Linked DNA regions of Macaca fascicularis. The protein of the gene in region 3 interacts with the protein of the main gene of each other region in a pairwise test. Links are inferred from orthologs where the notes say so. Each region holds a gene or a part of one and is shown on either strand. Other genes may lie near its edges.

Region 1 (5,486 bases), on a different chromosome or scaffold from region 3:
AAAAAAAAAAAAAAAAAATAGAGAAACATTTGTAAAGTAGGTTTTTGAGTCTCAGCACTATTGACCTTTTGGGCAGGATACTTCTTTGTTGTGTGGTATTGTTCTGTGTGTTGAGTGATGTTTAGCGGGATTGCTGGCCCCTACACACCAGATGCTAGTGTCCCTCCACCCTGAGTTGTGACAACCCAGATTGTCTCCAGACACTCCCAAATGTCCCTGGCTGGCAAAATTGCCGCTGCTCAAGAATCACGGCTTTGACGATTAGACTTTGTGATATTTGTTTCAGTCTGTTTAGTTTTTTTTGTTTTTTCTACCTGTATTTTTTTTCTGGTTCTGGGTGGTTGTAATTAATAGGTTCATTGATGGATTCACCTAACATTTCATGAAAGTTTCGTGTGTGTGTGTGTGTTTCAATAGAAGCATAAACTATACTCCCTAGTCTCAAGATACACAGGAAGGAAAATAAGCACAAATGTGTCACCAGGGCACAGACAAGTCCTAGGTCCTCAGCAGGCCAGGTGTCTTATCCACTGTCTGGGTCTGCTCTAACTCCAGGCTTAGAACCCCTGCCACACGACTCCACAGCTTGGCTGGCACCCTTTCCCTGCTCCGACTTCTGCTGCCTTGAGCTTGGCTAGCTGTCCCCCTGCCCCCGCCTCACCCTCAGCTCCAGTGTCTTGCTCAGGCTGCAGCAGTCTCCATCCCCTGTGCAGACACTGCCCTTCCTCCACAGCCCAGGACCAGGTTTTCCCTGGGCCTCTCCTCTCTCCTGGCCCATCTCCCATCACCCATCTCTGCCTGGCCCAGGCCCTTTGGCACTGAGCAGCCTGACTCTCGTCACTGGCTAATGTGTTCTGTGGTACATTTTCTCTCCTCACCCTCCCATATCAATTCCTCGAAGGCAGGGCCAGGGGAGACTAGGAAGCCACTTCCCTTTCGACAGCCCCCGCCACAGCCCTGCCTGTGCCAGGCACCTAGCAGCTCCTGAAGCCCACTGGCATTGAACATAGCATTCAATCCCTGCCAAGCCTGCCCTTCCCATCTGGTTTCCCAAGGCTCTTCCCAACACCACCTCCTCCACCTGCCAGTTAAAATCTTCCCAAACTCAGCTCAAGGAGATGCTTCTAAGGTGGAATGAAATATCTTCTTCCCCACCTGTAGACAATCTACTTCCTCTCCCACACCTGGCAACTGGCGCACGACCTTGTATATTAAATTAGATTCAGCCTGAGACTGTCTCCCACCAATCCCTGCCCCCTGTCCTGCTGAGCACCTGGAGGAAAGGGCTTTTGGGCTGTTTATCTTTGTCCTGGAAACCATCCTTCAACTCACTCTGGGCCCTGCCTAGCATGTCATCCGAGTTTGCAGAATAGAGCAGGACAGGACAGGGCAGGATAGGATAGGATAGGAGCGAGTGAGCCCGGTAGCTCACACCTGTAATCCCAGTTCCTCGGGGGCCTGCGGTAGGAGAATCGCTTTGGGAGCAGGAGTTGCAGGCCGCAGTGAGCTATGATCAGCTTGGGCGACCGAGCGAGACCCTTTCTCTAAAACAAACACACAAGGTCGGGTGCGGTGGCTTAGGCCTGTAATCCCAGCGCTTTGGGAGGCCGAGGCGGGCGGATCACGAGGTCAAGAGATCAAGACCATCCTGGCCAACATGGTGAAACCCCGTCTCTACTAAAAATACAAAAATTAGCTGGACTTGGTGGCGCGCGCCTGTAGTCCCAACTATTCGGGAGACTGAGGCAGGAGAATCGCTTGAACCCGGGAGGCAGAGGTTGCAGTGAGCCGAGATCGTGCCACTGCACTCCAGCTTGGCGACAGAGTGAGACTCCATCTCAAAACAAACAAACAAACAAAAGAATAGAAAGAGGAGCACAAATATTCCCAATTCATAACAGTCCCTCGCACTGTCAATGCCCCAGACACGCGCTATCATCTCTAGCAAACTCCCCCAGGCACCTGCAGGATGGGTGAAGGAAGGCGACGAGCACCAGCTGCCCTGCTGAGGCTGGCCCGGCGTCACATGATTTTCCAATCACATGATCCCTAGAAATGGGGTGTAGGGCGAGAGGAAGCGGGGAGGAGAGTGATTTGAGTAGAAAAGAAACACAGCATTCCAGGCTGGCCCCACCTCCACATTGATAAGTAGCCAATGGGAGTGCGGCAGCCCTGATCCCTGGCCAATGGAAACTGAGGTAGGCGGGTCACCGCGCTGGGATCTGTAGTCTGAGCGCTGCCCGGTTGCTGCTGCCCAGGGACCGCGGACCCGGACGCAGGTAGGAGGGCGGCCGCGCAGACCTCTGGCCTGCTCCTGCCCAGGGGCCCGGCTAGGGCCATGTGAGCTTGAGGTTCCCCGGGAGTCTCAGCCGGAGACAAGACAAGAACCGCTTATTGAAACTCCTTGGGGGTTCTGATACACTAGAGGGAGTTTTATGGGAAAGAGGAAGCAGTAACTGCAGTGACCTCTGTTAGAAGGGGGCTTTCTACCTCCCCAGCATTCCCCCAAAGCAGGGACCACACCATTCTTGACTCAGCTCCACCCCTGTCGGTAGGTGCCGGCTTCTTTCCCTCTCGTGGTGGTGGTGGGTGGTTCCCGCGGCGGCCTGAAGCCGGAGGGGCGCGCGACCCTGGGCTGGGAGCTCCGAGGGCCTGGGAACGGGACCTGAAACCTTGGCTTCTCGAAGGTAGTAGGGACTTGGGAGTGGTGACTGAACCTGGTCTGGCTCCTCCTTACTTCCTCTTTTTGGGGGTGGGACGAGCTAACTTCCGCCTCTCCCAGCCACTTTTTCCTGCTCAGTTGCAGCTAGGCTGGCTCCCCTTTTGGGAATTTCCTCTCCCCTTGGCACTCGGAGTTGGGGGCTGCCACCTAGTGGAAGATAACGGAGCTAGGGTCTTGAAGAGGCTGCTGTCCCCTCTGGCTGTTTTGGCGGTGTAGGGTGGCGTGAGAGACTGCGACTCGCCTCCTCATCCCTGTTTCTGTATGTGTGTGCATGTATTCAGTAGAAGCATACACTATACTCCCTCAACTCAGGGTAAACAGGAGGGGCCATGCACAGGTAACTCACCAGAGAGCTGAACACTCCTGTGCAGACAGACTCCCCTTCCCAGCAAGCCAGGGCAGCGGACAGCCTGCTGAGAACACGCAGGAAGTAGGCGGTGCCAGCTGCAGGTGCTTTGCCTGGGAGCTGTGGGGCTGAGGAGAGGGTCCACTGTCCAGGACCAGTCAACTGCATCCTTATCTGTCCAGGAGGTGGCCTCTTCGGGATGCTGAGTTAGGGGAGGGGCACTTGAGGAAAGCCAATTGGAGCAGAGAGGATGTGAGTGACTGGGTGGGTGACATTTCCTGCCCTTCCCCCCTCCAATGATATCCACACAAGACTCGTGGGGGAACTGAGGCACAGACAGGGAGCAACTTCTCAGGCCCTCACAGTTGGCAATTCCAGGATTAGGACTCAAGTGCGATTTCCAGGCAGTCCCTGTTTCTGTGGTACCTGTTGCACCTATCCCCCTGGGGCGTAGGGGTCCATTCTCAGGCACTGCCCATTGTGCCACTAGTGATATTAACCCAGGTCCAATACGCTCTGGGGCCATCAAAGCCTGTCGTCACCATGACCTGATGTGTGACATGTTATCGGTGTCCCTTGGTATCTTCATGGAACTGGTTCCAGGACCCCAAAGTCTGGGTGCTCAAGTCCTTGATACAAAATGGTGTGATATTTGCATATAACCTATACATACTTTAAATCATTTCTAGATTACTTATGCCTAATACAATGGAAATGCCATGTTGGCTGGGCACGGTGGCTCATGCCTGTAATCCCCACACTTTGGGAGACTGTGGTGGGTGGATCACCTGAGGTCAGGAGTTCGAGACTGGCAGCCTGGCCAACATGGTGAAACCCCTATCTCTACTAAAAATACAAAAATTAGCCAGGTGTGGTAGCAGACTCAGGAGGCTGCTCAGGAAGCTGAGGCAGGAGAATTGCTTGAACCCGGGAGGCAGAGGTTGCAGTGAGCTGAGATTGCGCCACTGTACTACAGCCTGGGCGTCAGAGCAAGACTCCGTCTCAAAAAAAAAAAGAAAAGAAAAGAAAAGAAAAAGAGTGCAGCACACCAACATGGCACAAGTATACATATATAACAAACCTGCACGTTATGCACATGTACCCTACAACTTAAAGTATAATAATAATAAATAAATTTAAAAAAAGAAAAGAAAAAGAAATGCCATGTAAATAGTTGTGATCCTGAATTGTTTAGGGAATAATAAGAAAGAACAATCTGTACATGTTCAGTATAGATGCACCCATCCTAAGCCTAACTACATAGTATACCTCAGCAACAATGTAACATTTTCTGGGGTTTTTGTTTTGTTTTGTGAGACGGAATCTCAGTCTCGCTCTATCACCCAGGCTGGAGTATGGTGGCACGATCTCCTCCACTCACTGCAACCCCCACCTCCTGGGCTCAAGCGTTTTCCTGCCTCAGCCTCTTGAGTAGCTGGGATTACAGGTGTGCACTACCACGCATGGCTAATTTTTGTATTTTTAGTAGAGATGGGGGTTTCACCATGTTGGTCAGGCTGGTCTCGAACTCCTGACCTCGTGATCCGCCCACTTAGGCCTCCCAAAGTGCTGGGATTAGAGGTGTGAGCCACCACACCCAATATTTTTTGATCTCTGGTTGGATACGGAGGGCTGACTGTACTTAACATCTCTGAGCTTCAGTTTCTTCCTTTGAAAGTAAAAGTGGCTGGGCGTGGTGGCTCACGCCTGTAATCCCAGCACTCTGGGAGGCCGAGGTGGGTGGATCACGAGGTCAGGAGATCGAGACCATCCTGGCTAACACAGTGAAACCCCGTCTCTACTAAAATACAAAAAATTAGCCGAGCGTGCTGGCAGGCGCCTGTAGTCCCAGCTACTCAGGAGGCTGAGGCAGGAGAATGGCGTGAACCCAGGAGGTGGAGCTTGCAGTGAGCTGAGATAGCACCACTGCACTCCAGCCTGGGAGACAGGGAGAGTCCGTCTCAAACAAACAAACAAAAAAGTAAAGGTGAGGCCAGGTGTGGTGACTCAAGCCTGTAATCCCAGCACTTAGGGAGGCTGAGGCGGGTGGATCACCTGAGGTCAGGAGTTCAAGACCAGCCTGACCAATATGGTGAAACCCCCTCTCTACTAAAAATACAAAAATTAGCCCAGCATGGTGGCGGGTGCCTGTAGTCCCAGCTACTCAGGAGGCTGAGACAGGAGGATCGCTTGAACCTGGGAGGTGGAGGTTACAGTGAGCCGAGATCATGCCACTGAACTCTAGCATGGGCAACAGAGCAAGACTCCATCTCAAAAAAAAAAAAAAAAAAAAAGGGTGAGCAGGCTTGGTGGCACGCTCCCAAAGTCCCAGCTAATTGGGAGGCCAAGGTTGGAGGACTGCTTGATCCCAGGAGTTTGAGTCCAGCCTGGGCAACATAGCAATATCTCATCTCTAAA
Region 2 (5,731 bases), on a different chromosome or scaffold from region 3:
AGCTCACCCCTACCTTTGTCCCCCACTCTGCTGCTAGAGACTGTGAGCTCCTTGAGGGCAGGGCCCAGGTCTGATTCCTCCCCTCCCAGTGCCCAGCTCAGAAACAGTGCTTAGGATGCTGGCCAGTGAGTACAGCTGGGGGAAGAGGCTGGACTAGGCTTTCAGTCCCTCTGCCTGGGGCTTCTGGCTGCTCCATCAACTTCCAACATCCCAAAAATCAGAGAGGAGGTCAAGGGATTGGATGAGAGGCTCCAAGCGCTCCTTAGCCCGCTGTGCAGGAAGAAGCGAGTGTTTCCTGGCTATGGGTGAACTTCCTGGCCAACATTAAACAATACAGCATCCCGCCCCCTGTGCGGGGCTGTCTGTCTCCCTCGGCGCTTCCAGAAGGTCTCAGTGTGGTGCTAGAGTATCTAACACTTCCTGATTTGCAGATCATCATTCCCTTTTCTTGTTAACAAAGAGCAGTGCCGGGCGCAGTGGCTCATGCCTGTAATTCCCACACTTTGGCAGGCTGAGGCAGGCAGATCACCTCAGGTCGGGAGTTCGAGACCAGCCTGGTCAGCATGGTGAAACCCTGTCTCTACTAAAAATACAAACATTAGGCTGGGCGCGGTGGCTCACGCCTGTAATCCCAGCACTTTGGGAGGCCGAGACGGGCGGATCACAAGGTCAGGAGATCGAGACCATCCTGGCTAACACGGTGAAACCCCGTCTCTACTAAAAAATACAAAAACCTAGCCGGGCGAGGTGGCGGGCGTCTGTAGTCCCAGCTACTCGGGAGGCTGAGGCAGGAGAATGGCGTGAACCCGGGAGGCGGAGCTTGCAGTGAGCTGAGATCTGGCCACTGCACTCCAGTCTGGGCAACAAAGCGAGACTCTGTCTCAACAAACAAACAAACAAACAAACAAACAAACAAACATTAGCCGGGCGTGGTGGCAGGCGCCTGTAATCCCAGCTACTCAGGAAGCTGAGGCAGGAGAATCAATTGAACCTGGGAGGCGGAGGTTGCAGTGAGCAGAGATCATGCCATTGTACCCCAGCCTGGGCAACAGAGCGAGACTCCATCTCAAAACAAAACAAAACACAACACAACAAACAAAAAAAACACAGCTGAGTTTTAGGTCAATGCTTCCATCAGGGAACAGAATTTAGATCTTAACAATTTTGTTTACATTATATTTATTTTCATCTTTTACCTTCTATTGATGGCAAATGAGACTGATTTTTCATTTACAGAAGTGATACAAAAAAAGAGTCCTGTCACAATAATTTTAATAAGTGAATAATGAGCCAATTTAGAGAAAAATATAAAGCAAATAATAGTACAGGTGGTAAACTAATATGGCAAAATTACTAATATTCAAGGCTGAAGTTTGGCCGGGCATGGTGGCTCATGTAATCCCAACACTCTGGGACTTGGGGATGAGTGGCTCTCTTGAGCCCAGGAATTCAAGACCAGCCTGGGCAACACAGCAAGACCCCATCTCTAAAAAAAAAAAAAAAAATAGCCAGGTGTGGTGGTACATGCCTGTAGTTACACCCACTGGGGAGACTGAGGTGGGAGGATCACTGAAGCCCAGGAGTTCAAGGTTGCAGTGAGCTGAGATTGTGCCACTGTATTCCAGCCTGGGCAACAGAGTAAGACCCTGTTTCAAAAAAAAAAAAAAAAGTGGCCGGGTGCAGTGCTCATGCCTGTAATCCTAGCGTTTTGGGAGGCTAAGGCTGCTGGATCACTTGAGCCTAGGAGTTGGAAACCTGCCCGGGAAGTATGGTGAGACCCTGTCTCTACAAAAAAATCCAAACATTAGCTGGGCGTGGTGGTATGTACCTGTAGTCCCAGCTATTCTAGAGGTTGAGGTGGGAGGATTGCTTGAGCCTAGGAGATCCAGGCTGCAGTGAGTTGAGATTGCATCACTGCAGTCCAGCCTGGGTGACAGAGTTGAGATTCTGTCTCAAAAAAAAAAAAAAAAAAAAAAGTGAAGTTTGAAAAATTAGACCTCCAGGGAAATGGAAACTACATCTGCTGCTCACCCACCTGCCTCTCCTAAAGGGAAGATCGGGTACTTGGGGTCCCATTTCTATGGGGTGGAGCATTATAAGTAAGCCTAGCTTGTGGCAAATCTGTCTCTCTGGACACTCCAGCAAGCTGGAAGGGACGATGATCAGAGGGCACAGTTTGGGAGCTGCCCTGCTCTGGGACTCCTCTCCACATTGGATGAAACTCAGTTCTCCCTGGCCATGGCGTTCCTCACCATGGAGTGGTGAGGGTCCTAAGCTGAGGCGTGTGCAGATGGAGGAGGAGGGGCAGGGAGCCTGTGGATTTTCTCTGACTCCAGGTCCCCACTCCAGGAAGACAGCGCCGCTCCAGCTTGGCCCAGCACAGTTCCTCCTTGCATTTTGGGGGTCAAAGCCGCAGTTCATTTGAAACAAAATGCTCCTCTGCCTGGTCTGGTCCTCTCTTTGTGTATTTTCCTAGAGGACCTCACAGTGGGTGAGTGGCCAAGGAGAACAGGATTTGTGCCTCTGGGAAACTGGATTCCTGTCATCTCCTGCCAGCTGTCATCACCACACCGAGGCTGTTCAGCACCGCGGGACCCTTTCTCTTTGGTATTGGTGGCTTCGGTAAATACTGAGGGAAGGTGGAGGTGGTGGTCGATGCCTTTTCCTGCCTATCTGGTACCTTGGGTTCTTTATCTTGATGCGATCTTGAAGGCTTCTGGCCTGGTGTTGGCTCCACCCCCAGGTCTCTGAACCACAGCCGAGGCAGCTGAGCAGAGGCACTGCTCGGCTTCCCCTAGTCCACACAGCCTGGCCACCACCCCGAACTGGGGAGGGGGACTCTAGTGGAGGGGGCCTGGGAGGGGCATCTTCCCTGGGGCAGTCTCAGTCCTAATGCTGGACGCTGGGGTCCCTGGTCCCACTGAGGCAGGGCCTTCCTCACGGGTCTCTGGGGAACCCTGGGAATTCAGAACCCCACACTGGTCCGGCCTTCACGCCTCCAGAAAGCTGAGATCTGCTCCAAAGTGACCCGTGGCTGGAGGCCCCACTCGGGATCCGGGCTCCGTGGCCGCTGCCTCCTGGCCTGGGGGCTCCCAAACTGGGCTCTGGCCTCTGGCCTCTGCTCGGGTTCAGCCCAGCTCACCAGGCCCGTGCCGGGGGGCCTCCCCTCCCAGGGCTGGGGCCCCCAGAAGGTGCTCCGGGCTGGGACCTCCGGTGGAGTCTGGGGGCCCAAGGAGCTGGGAGCAGAATTTGGGGCTGAGGGGGCATATGGGGCAGTTGCTTGGGCCTCCAAGACGCCCACTGGGGTGGGAGGCTCAGGGGCCCGGTCTGTCAGCAGGGGGACCGCAGATCCGTACCAGTCCTCAGAGCGCTCTCGGGGGGTGCCCATGGGCTCAATCCACAGCTCTCCTCCTGGGCGCCACACCAGGGTGGGTGCATGGTGGCTGGGGTCTGGGCGGAGAGCCCGGCGGAACAGGCGTTCAGCCAACACAGCGGTGGTGAGGATGAAGAGCGCAGCCAGGGTGGCCAGGGCCAGCATGATGGGGATGCAGGGCCCACAGGGCAGTGAGGGCCATGGGGCTGCCTCCCACGTGGGGGGCCCCTCCATGCGCCCAGAGGGCGGCTCTGGAGTCGACGGCATCTGGAAGACATGGGGCGAGAAGAGAAAGTAAATGAGGCAGAGGGGGCACAACAAAGATGAGAGAGAGGCAGCAGGTGTCCAGGAAAGCCTGGGAGAGGGGCTGGGCTCGGGGGCTCATGCCTGGAATCCTAGCACTTTGAGAGGCCGAGGCAGGATGATCGCTTGAGCCCAGGAGTTCAAGACCAGCCTGGACACACAGTGAAACCTCATCGCTATAAATAATTTAAAAACTAGCTGGGCATGGTGGCTCACACCTGTAGTCCCAGCTACACAGGAAGCTGAGGTGGGAGGATTACTTGAGCCCAGGAGTTCGAGGCTGCAGTGAGCCCAGATTGCACCACTGTCCTCCAGCCTGGGTGACAGAGCAAGACCCTTTCTCAAAAAAGAAAAAGAACATTCTGGAGAGACAGAGGAGCAAGGGGGACCAGAAAGGGTAAGCGTGAGCCAGGTGGGGCGGGAGGACAGGCTGCCTACCTATGCGCACAGCCAGGCCCTCTTCCCCAGCTCTCCAGGCCTTTCCAGAAGCCCCATTTCCCTCCCGGACCCCAGGGTGCCTCAGACCAGAAAGGTCTTGAGGGCCTCTTTCCTCCCCACTCGGCCCCCTCAAGTCTTGCTTAGGCCTAGAGAGGAAGTGGTGGGTGAAGAAATGAGAACCTCCCCTCCGACCGGCTCCCCTGTGTGTGTCTCCCCTACCGCCTCCCACCGGCCACCTCTGCTGGCCCCTTGGGGCTCCTTCGCCCCTTACCAGTCTCCTTGGACTTGATCTTGTTCTCATAGACTCCGTGGAATCGCGGAATCTGCTGCCGGGCCAGGCCAGGCCTCCGGAGGCGCCTCTGCACCCCTCCCAGGTTCCCCAGCTTTGCCCAGGCTCTGGCCTGTCTCTCTCTCTTGTTCGTCTCTGCACACCTCTCTCTGTCCCCCACATCCTCCATCTGCAGGGGCCTCCTGCACCCCTCAACTCACCTTGGGTCAGTCCCTGGGCGCCTCTCCCTCCTAGAGCCACTCTTCCTGGTGCCGGACTAAGAGATGCAGGCTCGGAAGGTGCAGGGCAGTCCGCCTTTCAGACATAGAGGCCGGGCCTCGGATGAAGGCGGAAGGGAGGGCACCGCCTGTTGCTGGGCAACTGTGCCCCAACTCGCCTGCCCCCGGGGAGTGTTTGTTTCCAAAGCAACCCAAGGGGATGTGGTCACTGCGGTGAGGAGGCTTTTCCTGGGGTAAGGTGGGGCTGGAATGGGCAATGGCTCTGTTGAACTTAGTGTCACCCCATAGCCAGGCCCTGGGCCCCAGAACATTCACCCAGAAGCTGAGAAAGAGGACGCAGGGGCCAGGCACAGTGGCTCACCCCTGTAATCCCAGCATTTTGAGAGGTCAAGGTGGGCAGGTCACCTGAGGTCAGGAGTTCGAGACCAGCCTGCCAACATGGCGAAACCCCATCTCTACTGAAAAATACAAAAATTAGCCGGATGTGGTGATGGGCACCTGTAATCCCAGCTGCTCGGGAGGCTGAGGCAGGGAGAATCACTTGAACCTGGGACTCAGAGGTTGCAGTGAGCTGAGATCGTGCCACCACACTCCAGCCTGGTTGACAGAGCGAGACTCCATCTTAAAAAGAAAGAAAAAGAGGCCGGGCGCGGTGGCTCAACCCTGTAATCCCAGCACTTTGGGAGGCCGAGATGGGCGGATCACGAGGTCAGGAGATCGAGACCATCCTGGCTAACACGGTGAAACCCCGTCTCTACTAAAAAATACAAAAAACTAGCCGGGCGCGGTGGCGGGCGCCTGTAGTCCCAACTACTCGGGAGGCTGAGGCAGGAGAATGGCGTGAACCCGGGAGGCGGAGCTTGCAGTGAGCTGAGATCCGGCCACTGCACTCCAGCCTGGGCGGCAGAGCGAGACTCCGTCTCAAAAAAAAAAAAAAAAAAAAAAGAAAGAAAAAGAAATAGGACACAAGTAATCTAGCCCGTACATTCCTAGAGAACCATGGTGCCTCCCCCTGCTCCTCCTGGGAGGATGCCCCACCCCATCCTGCCTTGTCCTATCCACGGTGCCTCCCCAGATCTGCTCCTGCCATCCAGCCCCCACAGGCACCCC
Region 3 (5,736 bases):
GCGGGGGCTCACGCCTGTAATCCCAGCACTTTGGGAGGCCGAGGCGAGAGAATCGCTCGAGTCCAGGTGTTCGAGACCAGTTTGGGCTATTATACAGTGTACAGTGAGACCCTACAAAAGAGACTCCACCAAAAAAAAAAAAAATTAGCCTGACGTGGCGGCACACATCAGTAGTCCCAGCTGCTTGAGAGGCTGAGGCGAGAAGATCGTTTTGAGCCCAGGAGTTGGAGGCTGCAGTGAGCTGTGACTGGGCTCTGCACTCCAGCCCGGGTGACAAAGTGAGACCCTGTCTCTAAAACCAGACAAAAAACTCACAACCACCTCTCTTCCTTATTTCCCTGCCCAGAATGGATCATTCAATGGAAAAAAACAGAATATCCTCGTAAACTGAGGCCATCTTACCTCCTTACACTCCAGTAGGAAGCGCCCGCTCTTGCCCACCGCCTTCTGTGAGCACTCTGCCCGCCTCCATCCCAAATCCACGTTGCTTCTCACCAACAGCAGGGCAGGAAAGCCAGGTGCCCTGCTCCTCACTCCCTCTCAGGACACCCGAGTTCTAGCTCAGTCCCCTGCCCACTCCCCACATCGAAGTCCACTTTCTTCTAAAATGCCACCAGGAGGTCACTGTACACATAAAAGCCCTCAAGTGCTCCCTGGAACCCCAGGAGTGTGCATAGGAGGCCCCCCCACCAGCTGGGGGTCGTCTGTGGGGCCTACACCAAACCCTGTACGTGCCACTCAAACTCAAGTGCTCACCTCTCCTGCCCAACTCTAGGAGAGAATCTAGTATTCCTGCAAACTCCATCTCTGGCCCAGCATCTCTTACAAGGCTTTCTACCTCTTGACAGACCCAGCTTCCCTTTGAACGCCAGCATCTGGCAGCGTCTAAACCCTATGGACTCAGGAAAGCCTTCGATGGTTGAAAAATTCACAGACACGTGGTCAAGTTCCTTGAAATGGGGAGGCCATTTCTCTCTGGGTTTCTGTTTCCACCTCAGTAAAAGAGAAAACGGGCCAGGTGCAGTGAGGCACGCCTGTAATCACAGAACTCTGGAGGCCAAGGTGGAGGATCGCTTGAACCCAGGAGTTTGAGACCAGCCTGGGTAACACGGTGAAACCCTATCTCTAAAACAACAAAATACTAAAATTAGCCGGGTGTGGTAGTGCACACCTGTAGTCCCAGCTACTCAGGAGGCTGAGGTGGGAGGGCCTGAGCCCGGGAGGTCGAGGCTGCAGTGAGCGGAGATTGCGCCACTACACTCCAGCCTGGGCGACAGAGCAAGACCTTATCTCAAACCACCCCTTTTATGCCTTCGGCCTGTACCGAGCACTTCCTACCAGGGCCACTGTTGGGTCTTGGCAAAAAAACAACCATAGAATTGAGTAAGACTGCCGCTCTCAAGGATCCGTCCAATCTGGGGCAGAGCTCACCCCCATTTGGAATCATTCACCCTTCTAGGAAGATTTAATTATAAACCTCAGCTCAAATCCTTGGCGCGCTTACAGCTTTCCAGGCACCCAGCTAAGTGCTGTACATGCGATAGCTTATTTTAGGGGTCAGCAGAGGTTTTTCTGAAAAGGGCCAGACTGTCTTCAGCTCGGCAGGCGCTAAGGTCCCTACGGCAACTGTTCAACTGTGTCTTCTTAGCTCGAAACCAACCACAGGTAACATGCAAACCAAGGAGTGTGGCTGTGTTCCCACAAACCTTCATTCCCAAAAACAGGCCAGAGGTGGATTTGGCCTTCTGGTTAGCTGATACCTTGCCCGGTTGAATCCTCACACACCTGAGGTGGTTACTTTTATAATCCCCATTCCACAGAAGAAAAACTGAGGCTTGGAAAGATGGGAACCACCCAAGACCACCCAGCTAGGAGGATGCAAATGAGGCGTTCTGAACCCAGGCAGCCTCACTTGAGAAGCTAAACTCCAAAGTGCCCACTTCTCGCCACACAAAATTGGGTGCACACACAAAACTTTGTATACCATTTCCCGGGCCCACACACTCCCAGCTGCCCATGCTGGGGAAGAATCACTGATCTAGGGTAGGTTTTTTTTGTTTTTTGGTTTTTTTTGACAGGGTCTCGCTCTGTCACCCAGGCTGGAGTGCAGTGGCGTGATCTTGGGTCTCTGTAACCTCTGCCTCCTGGGTTCAAGGGATTCTTCTGCCTCAGCCTCCTGAGTAGCTGGGATTACAGGCGCACGCCACCATGCCCAGCTAAGTTTTGTATTTTCAAGAGAGACGGGGTTTCACCACATTGGTCAGGCTGGTCTCGAACTCCTGACCTCAGGTGATCCACCCGTATGGTAGGGTGTGGTTTTTAAAGCGTTATTGACATTCAAAGTTGGATCGTTTTCTGGGGTGGGGCCGTCCTGGGCACTGCAGGGTGCTGAGCAGCAACCCTGGCCTCCACCGACTCCAAACCAGGGGGTCCCCTGAATCGTGAAAAGCACAAATGTCACCAAGAATCTCTGGGGCACAGAATTGTTCCTGGTTGAGAACCACACTGGTCAAGGGAGGGAAAAGGCAGAGAGAACGAATAATCAGAGACAGAAGCAAAAGTAAACGGGACAATGATCCAACCTCTGAGAGGCACATTGCACTGCAATTTTCTGCCACCTAATAACAAAAACAGCTGTTCTCAAGCCAGCTCTCTCTTATCAAGTTCCAGGCACCTGATCAAATCATTGAATGTGGGCTTATCCTCATAATGACCCTCCCAGACATCTGCTTTTACAACTCGTTTACGAAAAAGAAGGTTTGCTCAGAGAGGGAAGGCAACTCATCCAGGTTTACACAGCGGGTGGGTGGTGGTGGTGGGCTGGTTCTGAATCCCAGATTTCCCCCACCTCTAGCACGATATGCAGAAGAAGACTCTAAACATGAAATAAGACGAACGGCTGCTAATTCTTTGGAGTTCTCAGATTCCGCTGGACCCTGCGGCGGCTCTCATTCTCCCAGGCAGGGACTTCTGACAACGCCCGTTTTACAGACGGGAAAACTGAGGCTCCGAGAAGCCAAGAGGCTGGGCAAGGTCACCCAGGTAGGGACTGGCGACGCTGGGACCAGAGCCCCGACTTGAGTCCCCACAAACGGGGGTCCCCGAGTCACAGGGACGACTTTTCCAGGCAGTTAGTAAGAGCGGAACGGCAGCGAACACCCAGCGAGCGCTCAGTACATGCGGGGCGCCTTCCCCTCCAGCCGTCCTCGCCACCAGTCCGCGGACCAGCATTTCCAGGACCTGGGGCCCGGGGAAGGGAGATCAGGGCTCGAAGGGCCTGCCGATGCCGCCCGGCCTCAGTTTCCCCTCCGCTCCGCCTACTCACAGGACCCCGCGGGTCGCGCTGACCCTGGCCTCACGATCCCCAACCTCTTACGGGCTCTGGGGCCCCGTGAGCCCCGAGTCGCAGACCCCACACCCGCCAGGCTCAGCACAGTGCCCCTCACTCACCTCTCAGGCGACCGATCCCCGACCCACCGACGGTTGCGCTTGCGCACCGCGGAGCCGCCCGGCCCCGGCCCCCGGGCGCGACGCCTGCGCAGAAGAAGGGCTCCCCGGGTTGCTTCCCTTCTGCACAGGCGCGTTAATGATCGAGGTGGGCGTGGAAGGAAGTGACGCAACGTAGAGGCGGGAACCAGCTGGTCGTTAGGGCAACTGACCTCTACGACCTAATGGAGGCCGGAAGTCGGGGCTGGTTTGCCCTCTAGGGCGGGAACGAAGCGGTGCACGGTGGAACAGTGGCTGACTCCAGCCGGTCGCCGAGCTGACCACGTGGTGCTGGGCCGGCCACGTGGTGCAGCCGCGTTTGGCCACCTGGACTCCAGAGCGTCATAGCCCCGCAATGAATGGGAGTCAGTGTTGTCCGCTCGCTATCTTTGTTCATTTATTCACCCACCCATCTACTCACCCACAAATGCATTCTTTCATGCAGTCAATTTATGAGACGCTTGTGAGAATAGAAACATTAGTAGGCAGCAGGTGCCTAATATTCCATATTTATTGCAAACCAGTCATAAAAACCAGCAAAGTGTCTACTGTCATTATTTTGCATTGGGGTAGACGAACTATAAACTAATAAACTAGTACATAAGTAGATAAACAAGAAATTTCACAGCTAACACTACAAAAAAAATGAAGGTGGTGTGATTGCCACCGGGAGCTAAGTTGTATGGTATGGGTAGGAAAGATCATCCTTTAGATTTGGATTTCAAGGATAGGAAAAAGTCCAAACGGACCCCAGGCACAGGGAACAGCAAAAATGAAGGCCAATGTAAAAGCTTGGTGTGCTCAAGACATATGGAAAAAAAAATAGAGATGAGAGATGAGAAATTTCCAAGGACGACAGAAAACTGATCACCATCTGAGTTATAATTGACAGAAATGTTCTCCCAATTCATTGTTGTCCTACTCGAAATACATGCACGATTAATGGCGTGGATTATTTTAATTTCTTTTGCAGAAATAAAGAAGGTGAGACCGGGCGCGGTGGCTGACACCTGTAATCCCAGCACTTTGGGAGGCCAAGGGGCAGATCACTTGAGGTCAGAAGTTCGAGACCAGCCTGGCCAACATGCTGAAAACCTGTCTCTACTAAAAATACAAAAACTAGCCGGGCGTGGTGCGGGCATCTGTAGTCCCAGCTACTCGGGAGGTTGAGGCAGGAGAATCGCTTGAACCCGAGAGGCAGAGGTTGCAGTGAGCCGAGATCGCGCCATGGTACTCCAGCCTGGGCGACAGAGTGAGACTCCGTCCAGTCCCTCCAAAACAAAACGAAACAAAAACAAAAAACATAAAAGGAAAGGAGGTCGGTTGCTTCGTTTTTGCCAGTTTAATTGTAGTACATTGTTTTTTCTGGGTGCCATAACAGTTCAAGACAGACGGTTCCAGATGTTTTTTGTTTCAACCCACAACACTGGATGTAGGTCAGGTTACTGCACTGTTCCAAAACACCTGTTATTTGACATGAATCAGTTTACTTGCTTATGTTTCTGACAAAAAATAAACCTTGGCCGGGCGCGGTGGCTCACACCTGTAATCCCAGCACTTTGGGCGGCCGAGGCGGGCGGATCACGAGGTCAAGAGATTAAGACCATCCTGGCCAACATGGTGAAACCCTGTCTCTACTAAAAATACGAAAATTAGCCGAGCGTGGCGGCTCGCGCCTGTAGTCCCAGCTACTCGAGAGGCTGAGGCAGGAGAATTGCTTGAACCCGGGAGGCGGAGGTTGCAGTGAGCCGAGATTGCTGCCACTGCACTCCAGCCTGGGCGACAGAGCGAGACTCCGTCTCAAAAACAACCAAACACCAAAACTTCTGGTTAATGTAATTGATTCGTCTGATTCAGATGCTGGAAAGTGGGCCTGGGATACAGTTAGCGATCGATAATAACACTGGCCCAACACACAGCTATAAGAAGGGAGGCAAGCACACAATAACACGGTAGCCTGAAGCCCAGGCGAAGTTTCCGCGGAAAGAACCGCTCAGACAGAGGCTGAGAGGCGTCAGCGGCGTGCGGTTTCCAAGGAAACCGTCCTTTCTAGCCACCGCAGCGGCTCTGGAGGGGTACCGCAAGAGGCTCCGCCCACGCAACCCCGAGACCAATGACGGACTGGGAGGGTTGAGCGCATGCGCAGAGAGCTCCAGCGTCTCGGCCCGCCTCCTTTAGGTGTGGGCGGGGCTTGGGCACGCGTGCGTCCTGCCCTCCCTGTGCACGCGCCGCCCCAGCATGCCCCGGGTG

Evidence for each region.
Region 1: the proteins of SGTA (region 3) and GRN interact in binary tests that used the Homo sapiens proteins (3 or more experiments, as listed by UniProt). The two-hybrid records come from large-scale screens. The link is inferred for Macaca fascicularis from reciprocal best matches to the Homo sapiens genes SGTA and GRN.
Region 2: the proteins of SGTA (region 3) and ZG16 interact in binary tests that used the Homo sapiens proteins (3 or more experiments, as listed by UniProt). The two-hybrid records come from large-scale screens. The link is inferred for Macaca fascicularis from reciprocal best matches to the Homo sapiens genes SGTA and ZG16.

Annotation. Positions count from the first base shown.
Region 1 is NC_088390.1:65,405,500-65,410,985, forward strand, and holds the start of GRN (progranulin), read left to right. Parts: upstream 1-2,246; 5' UTR 2,247-2,279; exon of another isoform or gene 2,280-2,687; intron 2,688-5,486. UniProt on the Homo sapiens protein: Secreted protein that acts as a key regulator of lysosomal function and as a growth factor involved in inflammation, wound healing and cell proliferation. Regulates protein trafficking to lysosomes, and also the activity of lysosomal enzymes.
Region 2 is NC_088394.1:28,357,205-28,362,935, reverse strand, and holds the start of ZG16 (zymogen granule membrane protein 16), read left to right. Parts: upstream 1-2,491; 5' UTR 2,492-2,622; exon of another isoform or gene 2,623-2,965; coding exon of another isoform or gene 2,966-3,640; intron 3,641-3,934; exon of another isoform or gene 3,935-4,073; intron 4,074-4,603; exon of another isoform or gene 4,604-4,726; intron 4,727-5,731. Other genes in the region: C20H16orf54 (transmembrane protein C16orf54 homolog), read right to left, coding at 2,966-3,640. UniProt on the Homo sapiens protein: May play a role in protein trafficking. May act as a linker molecule between the submembranous matrix on the luminal side of zymogen granule membrane (ZGM) and aggregated secretory proteins during granule formation in the TGN.
Region 3 is NC_088393.1:3,463,110-3,468,845, forward strand, and holds the start of SGTA (small glutamine-rich tetratricopeptide repeat-containing protein alpha), read right to left. Parts: upstream 3,492-5,736; 5' UTR 3,451-3,491; intron 1-3,450. UniProt on the Homo sapiens protein: Co-chaperone that binds misfolded and hydrophobic patches-containing client proteins in the cytosol. Mediates their targeting to the endoplasmic reticulum but also regulates their sorting to the proteasome when targeting fails.